Lonchura striata: one gene and its partner. The protein of the gene in region 2 interacts with the protein of the main gene of each other region in a biochemical or structural test. Links are inferred from orthologs where the notes say so. Each region holds a gene or a part of one and is shown on either strand. Other genes may lie near its edges.

Region 1 (11,118 bases), on a different chromosome or scaffold from region 2:
CTCCAGGTGATCCTCCACGCCGGCGGCGCCCGAGTCCAGCTTGCCGCGCATCTCCTCCAGCCGCTGCACCAGCTGCTTGCCGAAGGCCTCTCCGAAGGGAGCCGCCTGCTGCCGGAAGGTCTCCAGCGTGTGCCCCACGCGCTGCTCCAGCTGCTGGGCCAGGGGCGCCAGGCGCTGCCGCAGGCTCTCGGCGTCGCCGCTCGCCGCTTCGCGCAGCTCCCGCGCCAGCGGGCTCAGCTGCGCCCGCAGCTCCTCGGAGCTGGCGGCCAGGCGGGCGCGCAGCTCCTCGGCCGCCCGCTCCATCTGCGCGCTCAGGCTCTCCAGCTGCCGGTTGAGGCCGTCCTGCACCTCCTGCGCGTAGGGGCTGAGCCCGCGCCGCAGCTCGGCCACGCTCTGCTCCACCTGCGCCTTCAGCTCGTCCGCCACGGGCGACAGCCGCTGCTTGACGCTCTCCACGCCGCCGTCGATCTGCTGCTGCAGCCGGTCGGCGTAGGGGCTCAGCGAGGCCTGGATGCTGTCGGCGTTGTCCTGCAGGCGCTCCCGCAGCTCGGCCGCGTAGGGCTCCAGCGCCCGCTGCAGCTCCCCGGCGCTGCGGTCCACCTGCGAGCGCAGCTCCTCGGCGTACGGGCTCATCCTGGCCTGCAGCTGCCGGATGTTGGAGCCGATCTGCTGGTGCACCTCGTCGGCGTAGGGCGCCAGCTTGGCCTGCAGCTCCTGCAGCTCCCGCCGGATCTGCTCCTTCAGCCGCTGCGAGTCCTGCGCCAGCCGCGCCTGCAGCTCGGTGGCGAAGGGCACCAGGCGCTCCTGCAGGTCCTCGGCGTAGGCGCTGACGCTCTGCAGGTTGCCCCTCAGCAGGGTGCTGGGGACAGGGGACACGGTCAGGGCCCGTGTGCCCGCACCCCGCGCCCTGCCCGGCCCCCGGCCCGCGGCTGCACTCACTTGAGCTGCTTGCTGATCTCCGTCTGCTGCAGCTGGTCCACCGTGTCCTTGGCATTGCTGCCCAGCTCCGTGAAGTACTTCCAGATCACGCTGGCCACCTCGTCAGGCTTCACATCGGCCCGCGAGCCTGCAGGGGGTGCTGGGGTCAGCGCTCGCACCGTCCCGGTCCCCAGGGACAGCGGGGACGTTCCCGTCACCGCCCCGGGCCGCAGCACCCCGCTGGCACCGGGCAGCCTCGCCCCACCTCACCGAGACCCCACCTCACCTGAGATCGCAAGGAGAACCAGGACAAGGGCGGCCGCCTTGGGCGCCATCCTGAGTGCTGGGGACTCCTGCGGGAGCACAGAGAGGTGAAGGAAGCCGCAGGGACCAGCAGCCCCCAGCCAAAGGCCAGGGAGACCCGGCTCCCTCCCGGCTCCCTCCCGGTTCCCTCCCGGCTCCCTCCAGCGCCTGCAGCCGCTCACCTGTGCTGCCAGTGCCGCGGTACCTGCCGAGCCGGCAGCTCCCAGCACTATTTATGCAGCCCGAGCGCTCCTGCAGCTTCCACGCAGGCTGTGACACAGCAAGGGCTTGGACTTTAGCACGATCACAACGTGGAGGCGCCTGACATCACCCGCGGCCCCGCCAGCCCCCAGGGTGTGACAGGGACACACGGGGTGGGGGTACCCGGGACACGCCGAGCCCCTCCTGGGGACAGGGACCCGGGCTGAGGGGACACCTCTGTTACGTGTATTTTGAATAATTCGGGCATATGAGAAAGAGACATATGAAATATATTAGAAACATTCCTGTAAGTTCTCTTAAGCACTCAGGCCGGGAAGACGAAGATTGCTTCACGGCATTTCGAAACCCAGCTGGCAGCAGGGAGAAAAGGATCTAATTTGCAAGCGAATAAATGTGGCTCGCAAGGAGATGGGCACCCAGATGATGAATGTTCGATAAATATCTCGGATTGAGATAGCCAGAGCCATCAAGAAAACTCACCTCAATGCCAAATTCCAGTAACTCCCCGAAGATCCCCGGGCTCGGCACTGACCTTTTGATTGTGGCCATCTCAGTCGCGAAATAAAAATCTATTTTATTAATTATTCAATTCAGCTTGATCATTTTTACCTATAACACCTGAGTGCTCTGTGGCTGCAGCAGTGGCTCTGTCAGTGCTGGCAGGGGTGTGGGATGGGGGCAACGCGACAGGACACGGGGCTGGGGATGCTGCAGGGCCCTCCCAGCTCTGCCACGGCTGGGCTGGGCAGCGGGGCAGGACACGGGCTCGGGGGCAGGACAAGGGCCCAGGGGGACACACGAGGCTGTGCAGGCACGATGGCATCGCTCCTGGAGGAAGGCCTGCCACAGGAAGGGGCCAGGACGCTGCAGGGCAGTGCAGCTGGGGATGCAGCTGGGACCCGTGCGTGTCCCCGGCCCGGGGACAGCGGCGATGTGTCACTGCGGGCAAAGGGCACGGCGGGCAGGGGCAGGGACCGGGCAGGCAGCGGCAGTGACAAGGTCCGAAGAGCTTCGCGGTGCCCGAGGGCGGCGTGCCCGGGGACAGGGCCGCTGGATGTCACCCTTGTGCCGTGCGTGCCCGGGCTGTCCCCTCCGCGGGCAGCGCGCTGGCTGCGCACACGCGTGTGCCCGCGGCCGCGCAGCTCCGTGCGCACACGCAGAGACACGCGGGGCCCCGGCGGCTCCGTCCCCCCGGCGGGCTCCGTCCCCCCGGCGGGCTCCGTCCCCCCGGGATTTCCCAACTCCTGGCCGGACGCGGCGCCCCTGCAGCCCCCCCCGCCCTGCCCCGACCTTTGCACGAATCCCCCAGCGCGGCCGTCGGGAGGGTATAAAGAGGGAGCCGGGGCTGCCCCCGCGCCATAGGCACAGGTGAGCCCGGCACAGGTGAGCGGGGACACCCCTGGCGAGGGCAGCGCGGGGCGGGGGGCGGGCACGGGACCCCCGTGCCCCCCTGCTGCCCCACATCGCGCGGTCCGCTCTCTCCCCAGCCATGAAGGCGTCGCTGCTGTTCCTGCTCGCCTGCACGGCCGTCCTGGCGGTGGGAGCAAGTAAGGGCCGGGGGCTGCGCAGGAGGGCTCGGGGTGCTGGGGGCACACGCGGGGGGCACAGCCGCGGGACCCCGTGCCCCCAGTGCCACCAGGCTCGTGCTCGCAGGGGCCGACTCGCCCGAGGAGCCGAAGGCGCTGGTGCAGAAGGTGCAGGAGCTGACCCAGAAAGCCACGGCCATGGCCAAGGACGCCTTCAGCAGGGTGCGGGAGTCGGAGGCGGCAAAGCAGGCCAGGTGCTCCCGAACCCCGCCAGCCCCGTCCCTGTCCCTGTGCCCCTCCCTGTGCCCGTCCCTGCCCCCGGTGCCGCCGGGGAGCCCGGCCAGGGCCCCGCGCTGACCCCCTCCCCTCCCCTCCCCTGCCCTCCCTCCCCTCCCTCCCCTGCAGGCAGTGGCTGTCGGACAACGCGGAGCTGGCGAAGCAGCGGCTGGCGTGGCTGAAGGAGCAGCTGGCGGAGCTGCTGAAGAAGACTCCGGCCGCGTAGCCTCACCGGGGGCTGCTCGGGGTCTGTCGGGGCCGGGGACCCCCCGGCTCCCCCCCGCTGTCGTGGTGCTCTCAATAAAGCAGGGCTGAGGCAAACGCTGCGGTGCCGTCTCTGGGGGCTGGCAGGGAGGAGTGTGACCCGCAGGGGGACCGGGCTGGGGCGGACGCGAGCACTGGGGTACACACGGCCGTGTTGGGGTGCTCGGGGTGACAGCAGCCGAGTGCTTGTTTCCAAAAACTCCTGCAAATTCAGTGCCACCATACCCCAGCGCCCTGTGTGGGGCTGAGCACGGCTGCACCTCGGGCAGAGCTGGACTCGGCGAGCCCAGGGCACCCCTCACCAGCTCCCTTGGGTCCCCACTCCCTCTGGTCCCCAGTACCCCCAGCTCAGAGCACCCCTTGCCCCCTCCAGCATCCACTGCAAAGACTGAGCGAGCTCCAATAACTTAAGTCAAGTTTATTTCTCAAAAGGGAGGCAAAGCTGAGAGCGACGCCGGGGTGGGGAGGCAATTCTAGGGGAAGAGGGGGTCTCCGGGGAGGGCACCCCAGGGCCGGGCCGGCCCGGGGCTCCTGCAGCCCGTCCCCAGAGCCCCCTGAGGAGAGGTGCCCGGGGCAGGGCAGGGAGCGCCCGGGGCGGCCGCGGAGCGGGGCTGGGGTCAGTCCCTGGCCGCGCCGGCCGGCAGCTCAGGCCACGGTCTTCTGGAGCTCCTCCAGCATGCTGAGGAAACGGGCCTTGAGGGTGTCGGTGTAGGGGGTGAGGCGCTCCTTGAAGTCCTGCACCAGGGGCGTTATCTTCTCGCGCAGGTTGCTGAGCTGCTCCACCAGCTTGGCCTGGTATTCAGCGGCCTGGGGGATGCCCTTCTCGCGGATCTCCTCCAGCTTCTGGCTCAGTTTCTGCCGCAGCTCATCGCTGAAGGGCGCCACGTTCTTGCGCAGCTCCTCGACGTGCCCGCGCAGACGGTCCCGCGCCTCCTCGGCCACCGGGGTCAGCTTCTGCTGCAGCAGCTCCACCTTCTGCTTGCTGAGCTCCTTCAGCTCCTGGGCGAGGGGTGCCAGGCGCTGGCGGTACTGCTCCAGATCCTCCGTCCACTTGGCAGCGAACTGGTCCAGGAAGGGCTTGATCTTCTCCTTCACCTCCTCCATGTCCTTGGTCAGCTCGGCGCGCAGGGACTCGGTGTCTTTCAGCCACATCTCCCGCACCTCTTTGTAGTAGGGGGCCATGTCCTCTTTCAGCTTGGCGGCGGCTGCGCCCAGCGTGTCGAGGTTCTCGCCCAGCTTCAGGCTGCGGGACGGGAGGGAGGGAGGGAGGTCACGCTCGGTGCCCGGGGCCCCCCGCCAGCCCCCCGCCGCACACCTCCCACTTACTCCAGCTGTTTGCCCACGGTGGAGGCCTCGAACTGGGCAATGGCTTCCTTGCCGCTGGCCTTCACTGTCTCCAGGTACACATCGACCATGTCCTTGAGGCGATCCAGGGGTGCCTGGGGATCATCGTGCTGCCAGAAGGAGCGGGCCTGGGTGCCTGCGGGGAGCGCCGGGTTTGCTCAGGACACGCCGCCCGGGGACGGCTCCAGCCCCGCCGGGAGGGGCCCGGGAGCCCCTCGGCTGCAGCGCGGCTCGCGAAGCGCCTCGGAAAGCGGCGGCTTCCAGCAGCGCCCGCGTCCCCATCCCGCCCGCGCTGCTGCATCCCTCCCGGCCGGACCTACCCGCCAGGCAGAGCAGGGCGAGGGTCAACACCGCGGCTCTCATCTTGGCTGGACCTGCGGGCAGAGCGAGAGAGTTGGGCGCGGGGAGCCCCGGCAGAGCCAGCCCCGGCGGGGCTGAGCCCGGCCCGGCTCCGGCGCTCCCGCCGAGCAGCCCGGGCTCTTACCGGCTCTCTCCACCGCTGCTGCTCGTCCCGTCTGAGCGGCCGGGCTCCGCCGCCGCTATTTATGCCGGAGGGGCAGTTCCGCGGAGATAAGCCAGCGGCGGCCGGGCCGCGCTCCCGGCGGGCGGTGTGGCCGCAGGGTTCAAGGATCGCGCAGCATCGCCGCGGAGCCGGGCTTGGCAGGGGTGGCGAGCAAACAGGAGCTCCCCGCGGGACGCGCCTCGCCGGCCAAGGAGCTGTTTACGCTCCCGGTGACCCAGATTCCCGCTGGCCTTGCCGGGGCCCCTCGCAGCCCCCAGGGATTGGCCGCCGGCCCGGGGACAAGGTTTATTCCCGCAGGGATTTGGCCTGCCGTACCCGGACCCCTCGCTCGGGCCGCGGGTCTGTGCCCCGTCCTTCACGGGGCCGCTCACGCCACCCCCTCTGCCCGCTGTGCCCCCAGCTCAGAGGCCCGGGGAGCTGCGCCCACGCCAGCCCTCGCCGGGGACCTGGGCAAGGCAAGGCTCAGCTCAGAGCAGCACCAGCACTGGCACGGCCGCCCCAAAACCCCGAGCCAACCCCGGGTGCAATTGTCACCAGTCCAGGGGTGCACAGGGCTGAGCCCAGCCTGGCAAGGGGAGAGAGGGGACAGGGAGAGAGAGGCCGCGTCCCCAGAGGGGCTGCAGGGGGTGTGCAGGGCTGGCAATGCCAGGGGGAGCTGCCACAGAGCAGTGATGCTCCTGGTTCTGGGTGGCACCGTCCCTGCAGCTCGTGCCAGCCCGCTGGGCATCGCAGGGGAGCTGCCACCGCAGGTGCTGCAGGTGCTGCGGGCACAGGCACAGCTCCCTGCGCCTCCCAGACCCTGCCCAAGGCTGGAAAAGCCCCAGTGCAGCAGTGCCCGGGCGGGCTCTGATCTGCAGCACTGCCGGGCTGCAGCTGCAGGGGCTGCCAGGGCCGGGGGGCTTCGGGAAACCCAGCCAGGGGCTGCCGGAGCCCGGGAAAGGGATGGATGGGACACAGCAGCGGCCGCCCCTTGACCTTTGGTGTTGAGCAACAAGGCAAACAAGAGCCCAGGGAAGATCATAATCATGGTTTTATTTGTTATGATCCCACTGTCCAACTAATTGACTAGTTGCAAGTGACCCACAAAAAATGGACTGAAGATTTACTGAAAATTTTTTTTTCCTGTTCGTTTTTAGTCCAACATAAATGAGGAAGAAAAAAAAAAAAATACTTCTGACATTTCCAAAAAACAGAAATAATAGCAAAGTATATTAATATACATTCAACATATACTGCGCGTATTGATTACTACAATACAAAGCCATGATAAAAAAAGTGTGATACTGCGGATGGCACGGTGACGCGGCCCCGCGGGGCAGCTGCTGCTGGGGGGGGCCCGGCGACTCTCCCAGGATACAGTGTCATGTAAACAAAAGGAAAATGAACCCAAGGGACAGAGCAAAAGGCTTTCAGCGCTTCCCAGCCTCCCCGCTCCATCCCGGAGGCTGCCGAGTCCCTCCTCTCCGATCCCGGGATCGCAGAGCCCTCAGCGTCCTTCTCCCGGAGAAGGGGAGGCCGGGAAGAGGCACGGGGTAAGGACAGCAAAGTCACCTCTGCCGTGCTGGTTTCACACTTCCTTCTGTGCAAAGTCAGGAGGGCTGGGTCGGTGTTTCCTTTAGTTTTAAAAAATATTCCGGAAAAAATGTCGCTGAGAAGGAGGATGTGAGCTGGAGCTCGTCGAGTCCCAAAGGCAAGGGTGACACCGCGTGCTCCTGAGCCCCAGCCGGGGGGGCCTCCCGCTCCATCCACCACGGAAAGGATGGAAAAGGGACAAAGAAGAGACCTCTGCATGTCCCGACTGTATAAGGAGAATTACCACTGTCGCCACTGGCACGAGAGAAAACCAGTCACAAGTACAATGTCATTAAAAGAAATAAAATACTTTGAACAAAAGGTGCAAGTCACAATTCATATAGAACAGAATCTAGTTAAAAATTTCTCTCAAACAGAAATTCCTTTTGCCTTTTATTAATAACAATAATAATAAAACAACATTTACCAAAAAAAAATAAAAATAAAAACAATTCCTACGTGATCAGGAGGAAAAGCGAAGGAAACAAAGAAAAATCCGTCTGCCCTATATTAGCCAGGAAAAGAAAAAACCCCAAGACGTGGCAGATTTGGAAAGAAAAGGGGAGGAAGGGCAGGGCAGGGGTGATGCTGTCAGCACCCCGACACACGAGAGGGAACAGAGCAGACAGAGGTGAGACAAGAAGTGGATTGCACCAGGGTGGGGAGGCACTGGCAGGCCCGGAGCCCCCCGGGCACAGGGACAGGGTGGAAGGAGAGCGTGGCCTCCGTCCAGGAGCAGCTCCAGCCCCCCAGACCTGCTCAGGGCAGGCTCCAGGGACGCTCAGCCCGGCGTGGGGCCCCGGGCAGGGCCAGCCCCCAGAGCAGCCCCAGCCCAGGCCGATCCTCCGTGTGGGGCTCGGGGCTCTGGGTGTAGCTGGAGTTACAGGCAAGTGTGGCAGAAATAAAGAACCCAAAGGAACGACACACTGGATGAAGTGAGGATGAGGAAAGGGGCCATGGTATTCCAGTTAGTCAGAAATACTACGGCAATTTGGCGCAATGCTGCTAGATACTGTTGGTTTAAAATGGACCTTTTCATTTCAAAGCTGTACACAAACCCTGCGAGAGAGAGAAAAGACAGGTGTTAGGGGACTCCACAATGGCACATTTCCTTCCACAGCCCTCTAGCATTCCCAGGCCATTCCTGACCCTGCCCCAGGAGAGAGACCCTGCCATGCAGAGGGGTCTGAGTGCAACACCAGCCTGGAAGGAGGGACAGCAAACAGCTTCAGCACAGGATCTCTGAGCGGATGGTCCCAGCCCCAGCACCGGAGCCAAGAGCAGGGAAGGTGACCCATGGGAGTGAGGCCCCAGGTGTGGTGTGGTGTGGCGAGAGAAGGACACAGGGATACTCACTCCCTCCTGGTTACACCCCTGCCTGCTCCATCCCAAAGGGCACCTCCGGGTGCTTGTAGCTCAGCAGGACGTCCGTGATACACGTGGAGGGGTAGCAGGAGGTGTTGAGGTGCTGGCTGCCATCGCCCAGGTTCGCGTGCTCCTGACCTTCCAAGCTCTCCCCGCATTCTGGAAGGGTGAAGAGGTGCCTGAGCACCTGTGGCTGTGACTCAGCTCCAGAGGAGCTGCCCCCAGCCCTGCCCCGTGGCAGCCCCGGGCTCACCCTCGCCGTCCCTGTCGCGCAGCTGCTGACTGGCCATCAGCGACGACTGGCTGAGCACGGCGTCCGACATCCGAGCAGAGCTGAGGGCTTTTCCTGCCATCAAACTCATTCCAGGCAAGTTATCCAGCTGCACCTGTGGAGGCAGCAGGACACGCTCAGGGGGAGCTCAGGATCCCGCTGCTCCCCATCTACCCAGAGAGCCTCTGCAAACCTTCAGCAAGGCTCTGGAAAGACAAGAACGGCACTGAATGGTCCAAATCCCTCTGAACTAACAGAATCACAGCATAGCTGGGGGTGGGAGGGAGATCAGGAGATCATCCAGCACAAAGCCCTGCCAAGCAGGGACACCGGGAGCAGGTGACAGAGAAACACATCTGGGTGGTTTTCAGATGTCTCCAGAGAGGGAGACTCCAGGCCCTACCCTGGGCAGCTGTTCCAGTGCTCTGCCACCCTCCATGGAAAGAAATCCTTCCTAATGCTGAGGTGGAACTTGTGATTTAGTTTCTGGTCATTGCTCCTCATCCTGTCACTGGGCACCACTGAACCAGTGAAGCTGACATCTACAGCAGAAGGGAGCTGTAGCAAGGCACACATCAAGATTTGGGCAGGACACTTCCCAGCACCCCAAACCCCCGAGGGCGCAGAGCACTGAGGTCTGGGCTACCACAGCCAGCTCCTCCACAGCCAGGCTGGGTGTGCCTGCAGAGCCCTGGGTGGCACAGCCAGGCCAGGCTGTGTCAGAGCAGGAGCTGGCAGGCAGAGGCACCTACGTAGGCATCGTCGCTGTTCTGGATGGTGTGATGTCTCTGCAGGCTGCGGGGCCGCGGGTGCTCGCTGGACGAGGGGCGCACGGGGTAGCCCAGGCCGTTGTGGTCAGGCACCTGCATGGCTTGGCCGGGGGAGCTCCTGTCCATGCAGTTCCCTACGATGGACTCTTGAGAGCCAGACAGGACAGAAAAGGGACAGGTTAGTACAAGGAACCTGCAGCCACCTGTGCCACTGCAGAACTGAGACCTGATGGCACACACAAATGCTCCTTGCTGGCAGAGCAGGGACAGGACCCCCGGCTGCACTCACACAGGCTTCTCCCTCCAGCTTCAATATCCCAAACGATCCCAATGCTAGCTGCCTTCCATCAGATCTACAAAACAGCCTTAAGCTGGAGGCACTGGGGCAGGAGCAGAGGAACCAGACCCTTTCCCACTTCTGCCTTCCCCTCGAGCCTGAGCTCGACCCCCACATCGTTACACAAGAGCTGGGGGAGCCTCCAACACGGGATGCTCCAGCAGGGCCCCTTGGCAATTGTAAGCAACAGAATCCTGCTGGAAGAGCTGGCCAGGATCTTCACTTTTATCAGATGACTTCTCCCTGCCCTCCCACAATCTGGCTGCGGGAGCACACGAGTGCTCTGCCTGGCAAAGTCCATCTGCACTGCAAGCTCTTGTGACTGAGGGCAAAGGCCACATTCCTATCAGGCAAAGCCTCTCATCATCAAGTACACGATGTTTTGGATAAAGTCCTGAGCCATGGAGGAGCTGTCACCAGGGCTGAGCTCGCTGAGCTCGGACCCTGCCGAGCACAAACGCCCGACGCGGCCGCGAGCGCCGGGGAGCTGCCCCGAGGTGACACAGCTGAGGTTCATCCCTCACAAAGCCACAGCTTTCCCAGGGCTTTGGCCAGTGGGAAGTGATGTCCTGCTGTGCTGGGACACTGCACAGCCCAGCTGGCACTGCAACTGCCACAAAACCACTCCCTGGAGGGATCTCACAGGACCCTGGAACACCCCCACGTGCACCCACAAGGATCATGCTTGCCCCTGCACAGAGCAGTCCCAAAATCTGTCCACAATCTAGCAGAATGCAAGTGAGACCCCATCCCATGTGGTCTCCACACTGCTCACAGCCAGCACATGGACAGCACAGCCAGCACGCTGCTCCCCAGGCTCTCCCTCCATCAGGAATGTGGCATTCCTGCCGGAGCCCTGTCCCAGGGCACTCAGAGGTGCAGCCTCCCCCTGCCTTTGCACAACCGTGGGGTTACGTGCGGTTAACAGTCAGCTTTCCCGGAAAAGCGAGAAGGAAAACATGAGGTAACAGATGTTAGCGGATCAGTGCCACCCACACACTGCTTGGGATGCTGCTCCAACTGTGGGAACAGTGGTTGGGGCCAGCAGCCTGCTGCTCCAACAGCCCCAGTCCCAGTCCCTGTGCTGCGGGTGACGAGTTCCCTCAGCCTGGAAGAGCCAGGGCCTGAAAAACAGCTGCTTCCCAATGCCAGCACTTCACCTCTGGGGATGCTGCTCTGGAGCAAGGGATGGACACCCCGAACTGACACCCCCAGGCCTGCAGGGGAGAGCCTTTCATGCCCACATCCTTTGTGTCACCGTGGCATGTGACGCTGGCACGGCCAGCCCGGCTCCCTCCGTGCCAGCCCAGGCAGGTTTCCCACGGGCAGCGCTCCCAGCCCGGGACGGCCACGCTGGAGCAGAACTGGAGCAGGGCTGCTCACAGGCAGCCCAGCCACATCCCAAACAGATCTGGTCGGCTCTCAAG
Region 2 (12,870 bases):
ATTTGTATTGCCACCCCGGCTTCATCGCCAGTCTCCAGCTGCATCCCCACCCTGTTTGCATCTCCAGCCTTGGCTGCATCGCCACCCCTGCTTGTGTCCCCTATCCCAGTTGCATTTCCAAGGCCAGTTATATTTCCATCCCAGTTGCTCTGGCAGCAGCAGTTGCATCATGCTCCAGCAGCACCACCAACCCTGGTTATGTCACCAACCCCAACCACATTGTCACCTGCATCATGTTGCCAGTCCTGGTTGCATCACCAACCCCAGCTGCCTTGTGTTTTCCCCAAAGCCCTGTCTTCTGGAGTGCCTGCAGGCAGCAAGCACCTCACTTTCTGGTCATGGCTGGCTTCACCATCCGGCTCTGAAGGACAAGGCAGGCTCAGAATATAGAAGCAAAATGTGTTTATTATTTTGTAAATCTGCTGATTTTGAGTTGGTCCTGCCCAAGGAGCCTAGCTCGTTGCTCTGTAAGCCATATCTACTGTGCTACCCCCATGCTACCTCTGTGACCACCTGGTAAGTCAGAGCCTGCTCTTCTTATGTGAGTTGCTCTGTCCCAGGTGAGCAGAAGCTACAGCACCACAGGTCCACAGCCTCTACAGTACCTAAAAATGGCTTGCTAACGACAAGGGCTTGTGTGTACACTGGAATTCACAAGTGTAATGTTAATGAGCTGGCAGCATGGTTAATTATCCACCCGCTGGTGGGAAGTGACAAGCCTCTCAAGTAAAATTAATCACCATTCCCAAAAGAAGAACCAATCAGTGTGGAAGTGGGTGCCAGCCCATCCACCCGAGCTGTTGGTCTTGCTCACTTTCCTTCCAAACTCAGCTCCAAGTCCTTTGCTCCCCTGCATGGCACTTTGTGGTGCCTACCATCATGGAGGGAAGCTGGCCCTCCCTCCTTTCAGTTCTTTTTCGGCTCCTTATGGACCCTGTGTTCACGTAGGATCTTCCCCAACTTCCCAGCCTCTAGGCTGGATCTCGCCTGCCCTGGCTCCCCCTGCTCCTCTTTGCTCCCCAGCAGGATTTCGTTGATATAACTGAGTGTCAGGTTGCTGAAGACCATGTTGAAGTGGTGGGCACCTCGCAGCTCCTGGACAAACACCTTCTGCTTTTGCTGGTCACGCCATCGCTTGCACAGCTCCAAGCTGCGCGTGTTGACACTGTTGTCCCCATCGCCATAAATTATTTTCACGGGGTCCTCATAAGGGAAACGCTCATCATAAATGTAAGTCTCTGCGGTGGGAAAGCCTGTGCCATAGAGGCAATACATGTCCACCCCAGGCGGGGGCAAATCCTTCAACAAATCCTTCATGTCCTCCCACATGTACCAGCCATCCTCCAGGTTGACGTCAGTGAAGAAACGCTGGTAGTCGCGGTAGGTGTAGTTGTAGGAGGGTGTGGAGATGAAAACGTGGCTCTCGGGCCAGGCCAGGGTGGTGGGGAACATCCAGGGGCTGGTGGTGGTCATGCGCTGCTCTTCACGGAGCTTGATGTTGGACATGAGAGGGATGCCCTGCTCGTCACCTGCGGGACACGCAAGGGCTCATCACAAATGGCACCGCCATGTCCCCACACAGACAGAGCCTTTGGGCAGCTGGGCTGGGATCAGCGCTCCCCACAGTGACTCACCACTGTGCCCTGGCCTGCTCCAGCTCAGCTCTTCCCCTGCCCATAACCTTACGTCCTCTCCTTACCCCGCTGTCTGCAGGTATCAAGAACAGCCTTCCAAACACTTCTCTCCACATCTCTATCTGCTCAAAGGGCCTGAGTGGAGACAAGCCCGGATGTGTGATGGCACAGACCAACCCAGCCCTGAACATTCCCTGCAACCCTGGCACTGCCTCACCTGCCTGCAGGGACAGGAGTAAGCAGTAATAAGTGGCCAACTTGCACGTTTCCTTCAAGCCTTGATAGTTTTTGGTATGTCTGGAGTCCTAAGACCATGGAATGACCACAGATGACCTTAAATATATCTCTGGCTCTTGTGGCAACAGAGAAAAATATTAGCAGGTGACTTAAGGGTGATGCAAGGGGCCAGATGTTAAAACATTCAAGCACATGATTTTTAATCTCATGTGTTTTTGGACTTGTGACTTGTAGATATTCTGGGCTGTCAGCATTAGGCAAGTGATTGTGGCTTTCTGGGCTGCAAAGAGCCTAAACAGGAACTGGGTCCCCCACCTCTTTCACCACTGTGCCCTTTCCCTGCCCACTACCACCCTCCCATTTCTACAGGAGGGAAAGAAAACAAAGAGGTGGCTGCACACGAGGAGTCACCCACCGGATGCCAGGATACGCAGGGGCTTGACAGAGCCTCCCCAGGGGGCAGCCAGGGAAATGAACCCCCCAATGTACTGATCCTTCCAGGCCTGTGTCTGCTGCAGCAGGAAGTAGAGGATGTGCAGGTTGCCCATGCTGTGTGCAATGAGGAAGACGGGTCTCTGGTACTCATCGTGCATCTCCTCGATCAGCGCCTTCAGGTTCTGGAAGTATTCGGGCTGCTCCTCTGCGGACAAGAGGGGAGCATGATGGCATGAGGGTCATCCTGCTTCCCTCTGTGCATGGGGAGCCTGGCCACAACCCCCAGACTTACGGGGTCCAACCCTCCAGTCGTAGGGGGCTGCCCGGACCGTCTTGTCCCTCACGTAGCCGTTGTTCACCAGGTTCTGCACCATGGTGTGCAGGTAGCCTGTGGGCAGAGGGAACAAGTGGGAATTAGGTCTGTGGTCTTCTCTCATGAAGCTTTTTCCATTCTGGTCCTGGTCAGGGTCAAAATGTTCCCTGGTAAGCCCTGTGGCTCAGTGGCTCCAGCCAGATGTCGTGACTCTGCGCATCGCACGGAGTCCTGGGTCAAGGATGGGGTGCTCCCTGCCAGCACTCAGCTGGAGTGTGTCCCCCAGGCTAATGTCCTTAATCCCCAGTGCCCTGAGCTCTCTGCAGAACCCGTCCCTGCTGGAGACATGGGGACACCTCCCCATTTGCAGGGAGCACATGGGATCCCCAGACACCCTGGCCTCTCCTCCTCTCACCTGCCAGCTTGCTCTGATCCAGGTATTCCACAGAATAGGTCTTGCCAAAGCCAGGAACACGGATGTGCACCCCTGGGGCATTGGACATCTTCCGAGAGGTTCGGTTGTACACCACCCTGTGGGGACAGGACAGGAAGTGGCAGAAGAGCCATGTCCCCATGGAGAACACAGGGCTGGGATGGAGATCACTGGCAGTGGCTTGGACCTGGCTGTTCCCAAGCCTTGTGTGGATGTGAGGTGCACTGGAGCCCAGCCAGAGTCCCTTCTGCTCTCCTGACATCCTGGGACAGGACGCTCTGATGGAACCAGCTGCCACAGCCCCCTCACCCTACAGCCCCAGGCAGGGTGGCAGCATCTCCAGTGAGTGCTCAGGGTGCTCTGGCTGGGCTTGAGCACATGGCAAGGATTTGGGAAAGGGACAGATGCTCAGAGCAGTAGCCAGTCACTTGTGTTCCCAAACAATCCCATGGTCCTCCCATTTTTTTTCCCTGTGTGCTAGATAATAGCCAGGGGGAGGAGAGGGGAGGGAGATCCTTGGTAGGTCGTTTCCCCAGGGAGCTCCCAGGGTAGAGTTGGATGGTACCTGGTGTTATCGATCCAGCAGTCAACTCCCACTGGCAGGAAGGTGTTGAGGTTGAGCCAGATGGTGAAATAATCCTCTGTTTTTCGGTAGCACATCCAGTTCACCACATCTGGCTTGTCCAGCTTTGCTTCCAGCTGGTTCCCCAGACACCCCGGCACTGGAGGCACCACAGAGGGAGAGCAGAGCCAGTTACAAACCCTCTCCCACTGACCCTGTGGAGCTGCCCAACCTGGTGCTTACCCCACCCCCCAGGCAGTGCTCCCCTGGGGTTGCCTGGGGATGGCAGGGCACCTGCTGGAGCAGCATCCCTGGAGAACCACCTGCTCCTCACAGGAGAGAGGATGCTTGGAGCTGAGATGCTGGGTGAGCATGAAAAGTGCTAAAATGCATCCTTGGGAACCCCTAGAGCTGCATTTCCATGGGATGACCCCCAGAGCTGTCACCTTTGGCTCAAACATGTGAGTCCCCAGCAGCACAAAGCATCCTAGACTGCTCCCCCTCCCTGGATGGGTTCTCACCTTCCTCTCCTTGCTGCAACCTGGGGGAAGAAATTGGTGCTGCTTGGGGCTGCCCATTCCTAATGCAGTCCTGACAGCTTGTCTGGGGGTAGTGGTCAGTTCAGGGATTCAGAGCTCCCAGGGAGAGTTTCCTGAACTTTAAACCCTCCATACAGCCTGAACAAGGTCTCTGAAGTGGTTCAGTGCTGAGTGGAACTCAACTCAGCAGAAATTCACTGGAAATGGTGTGTGCAGGAAACACAGCACAGCTTTAAGCAAGTTCATTTTTGTGCCCTGGCCAGCCTCAGTGGAAGGTGACAGACACCAGGGCGTTTGATCTGCCTGTGGGAGCATCAGTGTGGCCCCAGCAGGGATGGGACACCCGTCCTGCTGCTGCCCTGAGGGATGTGCCTGTGCTGGGCTCAGACACTAAGGAGAGCTTCCCCAGCCGAGTGCCCGAGCCAAGAGCCAGCTGCTGGTGCCAGCACTGACTGTGACGGTGAGGACAAGAGGTGAATGACTGCAGAGGACACTGAACCTGGTGGAATGGGAGCACCAGGTGACAAATCCCAAGGCCCCAGCAGGTCCAAGGACTTGCCTGCAATACATGGCTGGGGCTGGTGTGGACCTTCAATGCCCTGTGCCATGCAAGAGGGGAAGATGTAGCAGTTACCTTCCTCAACCTGCCTCACAGCTCCTTCATGCTGTGGCACATCCCTAGGGGTGCAGGGAGGGTCTAATCCTGTCTTCAAAGCACCTGGGTGGGGATCAGACAGATGTAGGGGAGCCCTGATAGGGAGTAGGCAAAGGGATGGTCAGCAAGAGGAACAGGATCAAGAGCTGCTCTGGAGGCTCCTGAAGGTGCACAGCCAGCACCCCCCAGCCCCTGGCACACAACTCTGAGCTCTGCCTCCCCTCCCAGAGGACATTAGGTAATTATTAAGGGAGTTCTGTGAGGGCAGAGGGGTTATCAGTGGTCCCAAGGGCACTGGGGGTTTCCGGGACGCCCGGCCCAGGGGGATGGGTTGACTGTGGATGCTGAGTGGAATGAAGCACAGCCAAGTGGCACAAGGGGCACCCGGGCGTGGGACACGGCCTGAGGCTGGCACCAGGGACAAAAGGAGATGCCCAGACTGTCACAGGTAATCCTGAATAGAGGCACGTGGTGACAGTGAGCCGGGTCTTCTGACCACCCCAGGACATGGAGGCCCGTGCCCCCTGATGCCTCTGGGAAGGGAGTTTACAGGGTCAGCCCTTGGCATTGCAGCAGGGAGGGATCTTCTGCTTTTTCTCTTCTCTTTTTTTAAGGGGAAACTCATCATGATTCAAGAAAAGGGAGGAAAACCCCAACTGCTCAGCAGTTTTCTTGGCAAAACCTGAGCTCAAGTGCCTGGTGATGGCACAGGGGCAAAGGAAGGCAGAACCATGCAGCACGGAGGCACCTGCTGATGGTGGCTGCTTCCTTCTTGAGATGATGCCCCCACATCTCCATTAATCTCCCTGTGCCCCTCTCCTGCTGGCTTGCCCCAGGTCAGAGTTCGTATTGGATGGGATGTGAGATGGCTCCTTTTCTGCAGCAGCAGAGGACGACTGCTGTCTCCCAGGAGTGGAAAAAGACACAGGACGGGGTGGGCTTCAGGAAAGTGAGAGATGGTGGGTCCATCCCCAGCACCAATGGCAGCTTGTTTGGGAAGCGGCAGAAGAGGTTGTGCTGCAGCCCCTGTCCCTCTGAGTTCCCCAGACACAAACAAGCCCTAAAACATTCCATGGGCCAGCTGTGAGATACCAGAGACCCATTTGCTTTCTGGGGCGCCCAGTCTATCCCCTCAGCTCCAAAAAGCTCTACCTGGGCATGGCCAGCCCTGTGTCCCTATCCCAGTGGATGGTGTGGGATGAGGAGCTGTGTGACACCCTCACTTGGTGGCTCCAACCCAGACAGGTAAAACCCATCTCAGCCAGACCCCACTGAGCCACCAGTGGCACGGGAGCCCCGGCTCCCTGTGTGTCCTGGGGGCTGCATGGCAGCCAGAGCTGCCACCCACGGCCCGCACGGTGCCCGCGCTGCGCGACCTTACCCAGCACCACGGGCGGCGTGCTGTTCGTCGGGGGAGCTTCTGGCGTGGTGGTGGGTGGGAAGAGGACATTGAAGAGCCAGAACTGGGACGTGGGCTGCAGGAGCAGCGACAGCGTCAGCAGCGCAGCCCCGGCGCCGCTGCTCCCCATGGCAGGCTCGGCCGGGCTCCTCCGCACGGCTCCGAGCCAAGCAGCCTTTTATAATTTCTACACAGGTCCGGCCAAGAGGCACCCGGGCTGCAGGGGAGGGGAGAGCTGCAAGGGGCTGGCCACGAGGAGGAGGAGGGACGGGGAGGGACGAAGGACTGGCCTTATGGACAAACCATGGCCTGTCAAAACCAGTGCAGCAGCGCCAGGGGGTTCTTAGGGCCCCGAGAACCCTGCTCAGGGGTGCTGCACTCAGCTTGAGCAGCTTCCCAGTGCCTCAGTGTCCCTTTGCCATGTTCTGGGGAGGTGGCTGCCACGTTCTTGCCCCTCTATGGTTCTCTAGGGGTAATGCTCACTCCCTGCCTTGGTGAACACAGCCTCTCTCCACTCCTCCTGCCCCTGGCCGAGGATGATGGTGCTGCCAGCATGGCCAGGTGGCCCCAGGTATCTGGGAGAAGATGGAGGGGTTGGGATAGGAAAAGAACACATCTGGGCAGCTCTTTGTGACACATGGCAGTGCCACGTTCCCCAGTGCCATCCTGGGCACTGCCCCTACCCCGTGCAGCATCCTCCCAGTATCCACTGGAAGGCCCCAGTGACAGTCCCAGCTGGGGGAAGTCCCTGCAGCTCCAGCCTGCACTGGGTTCATGCTCTGGCTGGAAGGGACCTTAAAGATCATCTCATTTCAAACCCCTGCCATGGGATTTGAACACCTCCCACTAGACCAGGATGCTCCAAGCCCTATCCAGTGTGGCCTTGAACACTTGAAAGGATGGGGCAAAATCATATTGTCCTGCTGAAGGGAAGATTGTCTTCTTCTCCCAGGAAGTGTGACGTGGGACAGGGATGCTATAGGGCACTGGTGGGTGGGCTGGCTGACAGGGTGGGCTCCCTATAGAGCAAAAGGGCCCTTCCTGAGGAATGGGGAGGAAGGGCAGTGGAGTATGTGGGTGGCAGCTGTAGGTGCCCCACGGCTCCGTGTCCCGGTGGCCCGGCTCCCGCAGCCTCCCTCGCTCCGCTCTAACGCGGCTCCTGCAAAGCGCCGCTGGGGCTCGATGGAGCCGAGGCTGCCGCAGCCCCAGAGCAGAGCTCGGAGCCCGACCGGCCGCAGCCGCCGCTCTCCCGTCCCCGCGGGGCCCTCCTGCCTCCCTCGGGGAGCGGGGAGGTTTCACAGCCGCTCCCGCAGCTCCTGCTCCTCTCCCTGCCCCGCATCCCTGCGGCAGCGGCATCTTCCCAGGGCGCATCCCTGTGCCCGCTCAGCGCCCAGGGACATTCCCAGAGCCCGGGTTCAGTCTGGCCTGCGCTGGGAGCCTCGTTGGGGGAGCGGGGAATAGCAGAGAGGGTGCCCGCATTGTCCCTGCAAGCTGAGGAGAGCGGGGTGCCCCACCTATGACAGACCTGCACCCCCTGCCCAAATGTGAGCCTGGATAGCTCAGCTGGGAGAGCATCAGACTTTTAATCTGAGGGTCCAGGGTTCAAGCCCCTGTTCAGGCGGTGGCTTTATCCTTTAGGAGCCCATGGGCAGGGGCGGCATCGCGTCCTGCCCAGGTCGGTCCTTCCCGGGGCAACTGGTGCAGGGAATTTTGCTTTCCGCTGCTCCCTCCCTCAGTGCTCGGGTTCCTTCCCCAAGCGACGTCAGGCAGTGTTGTTAACGTTTGGGTTCCTGCTGGCAGCTGTTTTTTTTTCTGCTTGACAATCTCCATGAAGATACTGAAGGCACTGGAGCATCTCTCGTGGGAGGGAAGCCAGGCTCTGTTCATGGTGCTCAGGGCCGGGGCCATGGGCACACACTGGAGCACAGGAGGCTCCAGCTGAACATCAGGACACCCTTTTTTCACTGGGAGCATGATGAGCAGAAATTTCCCAGCAGAGCCCTGCGCCACTTTAAGGGAATACAGCTCCTGTGAGAGAAGAGGCTGCAGTGACCTGTGGGGCAACCACACTGTCTCAGTCAAACCCTGGACAGTGCTGTAGGTGTATAGACACTTCAGGAAATTTTTGCAAAATAGAAACTCTTTTAACAGAAATTCAAGCAATTTTGGATGAAAAATACTCCCTGTCCTTAGCAAATTTTTAAAATGTTTTTCAACTTGAGCATACATCAGTTGTTCAAGCACAGTAAATTATTTTTCAGGTAAGTTTAGTGGCCTTACACATCACACTGACTTTCTGTGGAAAAAAAAAAATAAAAGAGGAATGAGAAGTTATGTATTTCCTTGGGTAAAAGTGGGGCAGGCACTGCTGCTGCTAATGAGCGACTTCTCCAGATGTTTGCCTTCTCTTCCTCCTATTTTATCTTTAGAAGGGACATGCTTTTTGAGCTTTCCCTAAGTAAAGAGATATATATTTTCAGTAAATGGATGTTGGAGGAGTGTGAAGTCACACAAGTAAGTGACCTATAAACTGCAAATCCTAAAAGTAAATGTGTAATGATTTTTTTTTTTCCTTAAATTTCTTACTCTCGATAAGATACGAAAGAAAATAAATCTATTTTGTGCTAGGAAAAAAAGAAACCCACCCTCTCCTTTTCCCAAGCAGCAGCCCTGCAGACGCATGAACCCATCTGCCTGAGTTCTGCAGCGTCCTGCTGCTCGCAGGAGCCCCGGGGCGGTGGGCTGAGACCCTCTGCTTGGGCGGTGCCTCCGCCGCCAGCAGCCTGCGCCGCACCTCGTGTAAATCCTCCTTGGAAAGCTGCCACCAGAGTGAGTTCTGGCGGCTGTCAGGAGAGGGCACCAAGTCCAAGCAAACGGGGGAACTCCATTAAGGCTCCAGAAGGGTAAAGGCAGCAGTTTAAGAGGCTTCCCCAGGCTGAAGCATCTCTTGGTGCACCCAGAGATCTCCATCTGCTTCTTGGTGCCCGTGAGACCTCGGGTTCCCAGACCTACATTTTGTCAGGGTCATCCCTCACTTCTGGGTGGGTTTTGCTTCTGCTCCATCCCTGGAGGTCCTGCAACCAAAATCCTGCTCTCCTGGAGCAGGGAGTGCTAGCAGTAGGACTTTCATCTGGTAATCTTCCTTCTTCTGCTGTGGCAGACCCTTCATACCTGGGAGCCGGGAGCTGAGCAAGCTGCTGCCTCCCCCTCCTCTCACTCTGCAGGGCCCCCACAGCTACTTCTGGTCCTCTTTCTGCAAAACTGTGATGAAGCAGAACGTGCAAGGCTGAGCAAATTCCTCTAAATTCTCAAGTTTGCCTAGAAAATGGAGAAGCTGGAGCGCTTTCCCAGAAATGTCATTGCAGCCTCACTGGGAAGACCCTGCACAGTGACTGCAGGTCAGGAAATCATTGTCGGTGTGAGTCTGGTCCCTCTCGGACCACCGGCTCTGGACAAAAGCTGCTGTGACTCGGATTCAAACCGAGGTTGCTGCGGCCACAGCGCAGAGTACTGAGCCCTGTATGATCACAGCAGAGCAGCTCCTGCTGCCAGCAAAGTCCCCACGCTGTCCCCTCCCACGGCAGGGACACCCAGCACAGCCTGGCCGACAAATCAGTTTAATTAAGGAGGCTACAGATGGACTCGGGTGCTGCTGCTCAGAGCCTTGGCAATCTGGAGTGGGGCCCTAAATTGTGCAAATCACTGGCAGTGCTGGCATGGCACCCAGGAAATGAGACTGCTGCAAAGGACAGCCTCGTGCAGTGGGGCCATCATCCTACAGTACAGCAAAGTCGGGGTTAGAATAATTTCAGCTAAATCTAAGTGGTACAAGAGGTGAGGAATTAATTAATTAATTTTAGCGTCCTGTGCGATACAACAAATTTGAGGGAATTCAGCTAAAAATGCAACAAATGGCACAAAGATCTCCATGGGGAGCTGAGTGGTGCTGTGGGAAGGATAACAGAAGGGAGGTCTGTGTAATCCAGAATGTCCCTGGCCTGTTATCCAGCATCCCCAGGGTTCCACTGCCACTCCCCTGCCTGATGATGATCCTTCGTGTTTCCTCCCCAGCTTCATGCCTTCAGAACTGCACTTTGGTAACTCCAGAGGTGCATTTGCTGCTCCTGGCCCTGGTGCAGGTTGGGCTCAGTGGGGGTGAGAGCTCCCTGCTCCACATCCAAGGCAGCCCAGAGTCCCCTGGGGACCATCCCACTGCTGCCTCCTCCCCATCCCTCCATGCACCACAGGACATACAGTGGGGGATCCCTGGTGTCCCCTTGGACCCCATCAGCCCCATGGTGAGTCCCAGAGGACCTGTGGGCACCTCTGCTCATCACAGAGCCTCCAGTGCCACGTGTGCCCCATGGAATTTATACAACACCAAGAGCCTGTCCTGCCTCCACAGACCAGCTTGGAACAGGGAGCAGAGCTGCCAAGAAGAGAGGTACAGACAGGATTTAACAGGAACACAGAATAGGTTCCCATCCCTGAGAGGGCTCAAGCATACACTTACAGATTTCCCATTTGAGGACCTTGTCTTCATGGGTGTTTTTGGCTATCTTGATCTGTGCTGGAGGAACACAGCAGGGCATAAGCAAGCCAGAAAGATCATGTCAGGTTTTGCTTCCTTACCTGTGTGGTAGAGGAGCTAATGATGAGCAGTGCTCTGCTTGGACTTTGAACTGACAAACGAGAAAGGATTCGCTGGGAGGAGTGCCTGAGGCATTGTAGGGTGGTGCTGCCATTCTGAGAGACACCTCTGGGGTGAGCCCAGGGACAAATTCCTATCAGGATGGTGTCCAGGTCCCCAGTTAAACAAGAACAAATGTTCAGACCAACCTAGCTCAATGATATGCAGAAATAACTGAGAACTCTCAAAGCACCAGTGAGGACTCTCTCAGTGATAGTCAGTAGAAGATCAAGGGAAGGAGGCTCACACAGTGCTACTTATTGTTTGTGGACAGTCATTTACTAAGGGACAGGTAGAACATGGTGCAGCAGCAAAAGTCCTCACAGTCAGAATCCTGGATCAGCGCCTCACCAGGGCATGACCTTCCCTTCCCAGTCCAGAAAAGCCCCAGTCTCCTTCTCAGAGATGGAGGACAGCACCTTCAGCATCCCTTGCACGCTGTCTTCCACTGTCAGGGGAGGCTGTGGGGCAGAGAGAGAAACAATTCTGTGCTCAGGGGCCTACCCTGAAACACATCATTGCTCTGGGCAAGAAGCATTCCCAGTCAGTCATCTCCCTCCCTCCTGTGCCTCCAGGGTATCTGCCCAGGAGCTCTCACACAGCCCAGCATGAGACCCCAGCAAATTCTCCATTCCTAAAGGATGAGGTTCTCCCAGACCATGGACAGGAGATGTCTCACCTTATATGAGCCTCCGGCCCCCATGTCAGTTTGCACCCAGCCGGGGTGGAGAGCCACGCAGAGGATGCCGTGCTCCTTGTACGCCAGAGACTGGCACCTGCTCAGCATGTTCAGAGCAGCCTGTAGGGAGACAGGGAGGAGACAGCAGTGGAAGGGGAAAGGGGGCTGCCAGGGAACATGTGCAGACCCCACAGCTGGGGCAGGAATTGGGCAGAGGGGGCCACGTCCTGGGGTACACGATGCCCCCTCACCATCCCTGTGTGGATGCCCAGCCTAGATGAAGTCCCATTGTATCGTGTCCCTCTGAGGTAGGACCCAGGGCCAGGCACAAAACTGAACTGTGATGGGCACTCAGGGACTGACAGGAGATCAGCCACAGCATAGAGAGGGGCACAGCCTGAGTGGGAGGCTGGAAGGCAGCGTGATCATTTGCAAGGAAAAATGTCTGGGCTCACCCCCAGTAAAATCTGGCAGTACCTTGCTGCAGCGGTACGAGACAATTTGTCCAAAATCCCACACATACATGTCCTCAATGGAGCCTGCATAGCTGGACATGTTGATGATGGCAGCCTTGCTGCAGCTCAGCTCTGAGCCTGGGCTCCCCTGGGCAGCCTTCTTCAGCAAGGGCAGAAACGCCTGCGAGGAGACAGAGGGGACAGAAGCACACATGGACATGGCACAGGGCAGGGGAGAAGCTCCTTCCACACTGGGCAGCACTGACACCAGCACTGAGGCATCCTCCCTCCTCTTTCCCAGTGCCCCAGCCTGGCTGGCTCCAGTTCCTGAGCTCCAGCCCATGGCTCCCTGAGCTTCTCATCGACTGAGAGCACATCGGGGCACCAGAGCACTGACAGGAGCCCCTCTACTGGTCCTTCCATCCCTCTGTAATGTCCAGTTTGATGACATGGGAAGGGATTATTCTGGAGCTGTGCTGGAGTGCTGGGGACTCACCTGGCCCATCAGCAGGGGTCCAACCGTGTTGGTGGTGTAAACCTGGATCATATCCTCTGGTGTCTCATTATCAAGGGAGTTTGGCTTTGCAATTCCAGCATTGTTGATGAGGAGGTTCAGCCCAGAGCCCCCCAAGTGCTCCCCAACCTTGGCTGCAGCTGCCTTGATGCTGGTGGGGTCGCTGACCTCTGCAGAGCCAACACAGGGGAGGTCAGAGCCTGCGTTCCCATGGTGGAGTCCCCTCTGTTCCTCCGGAGGTGGCAGTGCCCGATGGCGCCGCCGGCACCGGCCCGTTGGCACAGCTCCCGCCCAGCACGGGGCTCCCGGGGTGTGCCCAGCCTGG

The links.
Region 1: the proteins of LCAT (region 2) and APOA1 form a complex in vitro, tested with the Homo sapiens proteins (6 studies listed by BioGRID and IntAct, with this or other methods). The link is inferred for Lonchura striata from reciprocal best matches to the Homo sapiens genes LCAT and APOA1.

Annotation. Positions count from the first base shown.
Region 1 is NC_134625.1:10,338,847-10,349,964, reverse strand, and holds APOA1 (apolipoprotein A-I), read right to left. Parts: upstream 5,419-11,118; 5' UTR 5,338-5,418; intron 5,228-5,337; 5' UTR 5,217-5,227; coding exon 5,174-5,216; intron 4,990-5,173; coding exon 4,836-4,989; intron 4,753-4,835; coding exon 4,155-4,752; 3' UTR 3,908-4,154; downstream 1-3,907. Other genes in the region: APOA4 (apolipoprotein A-IV), read right to left, coding at 1-859, 940-1,066, 1,205-1,253; APOC3 (apolipoprotein C-III), read left to right, coding at 2,933-2,990, 3,097-3,223, 3,375-3,471; serine/threonine-protein kinase SIK3, read right to left, coding at 8,315-8,472, 8,567-8,699, 9,337-9,500. UniProt on the Homo sapiens protein: Participates in the reverse transport of cholesterol from tissues to the liver for excretion by promoting cholesterol efflux from tissues and by acting as a cofactor for the lecithin cholesterol acyltransferase (LCAT).
Region 2 is NC_134615.1:16,806,282-16,819,151, reverse strand, and holds LCAT (phosphatidylcholine-sterol acyltransferase), read right to left. Parts: upstream 6,366-12,870; 5' UTR 6,338-6,365; coding exon 6,190-6,337; intron 3,775-6,189; coding exon 3,618-3,774; intron 3,151-3,617; coding exon 3,035-3,150; intron 2,695-3,034; coding exon 2,599-2,694; intron 2,512-2,598; coding exon 2,287-2,511; intron 1,530-2,286; coding exon 907-1,529; 3' UTR 388-906; downstream 1-387. Other genes in the region: C-signal-like, read right to left, coding at 11,245-11,358, 11,577-11,696, 12,054-12,212, 12,528-12,715. UniProt on the Homo sapiens protein: Central enzyme in the extracellular metabolism of plasma lipoproteins.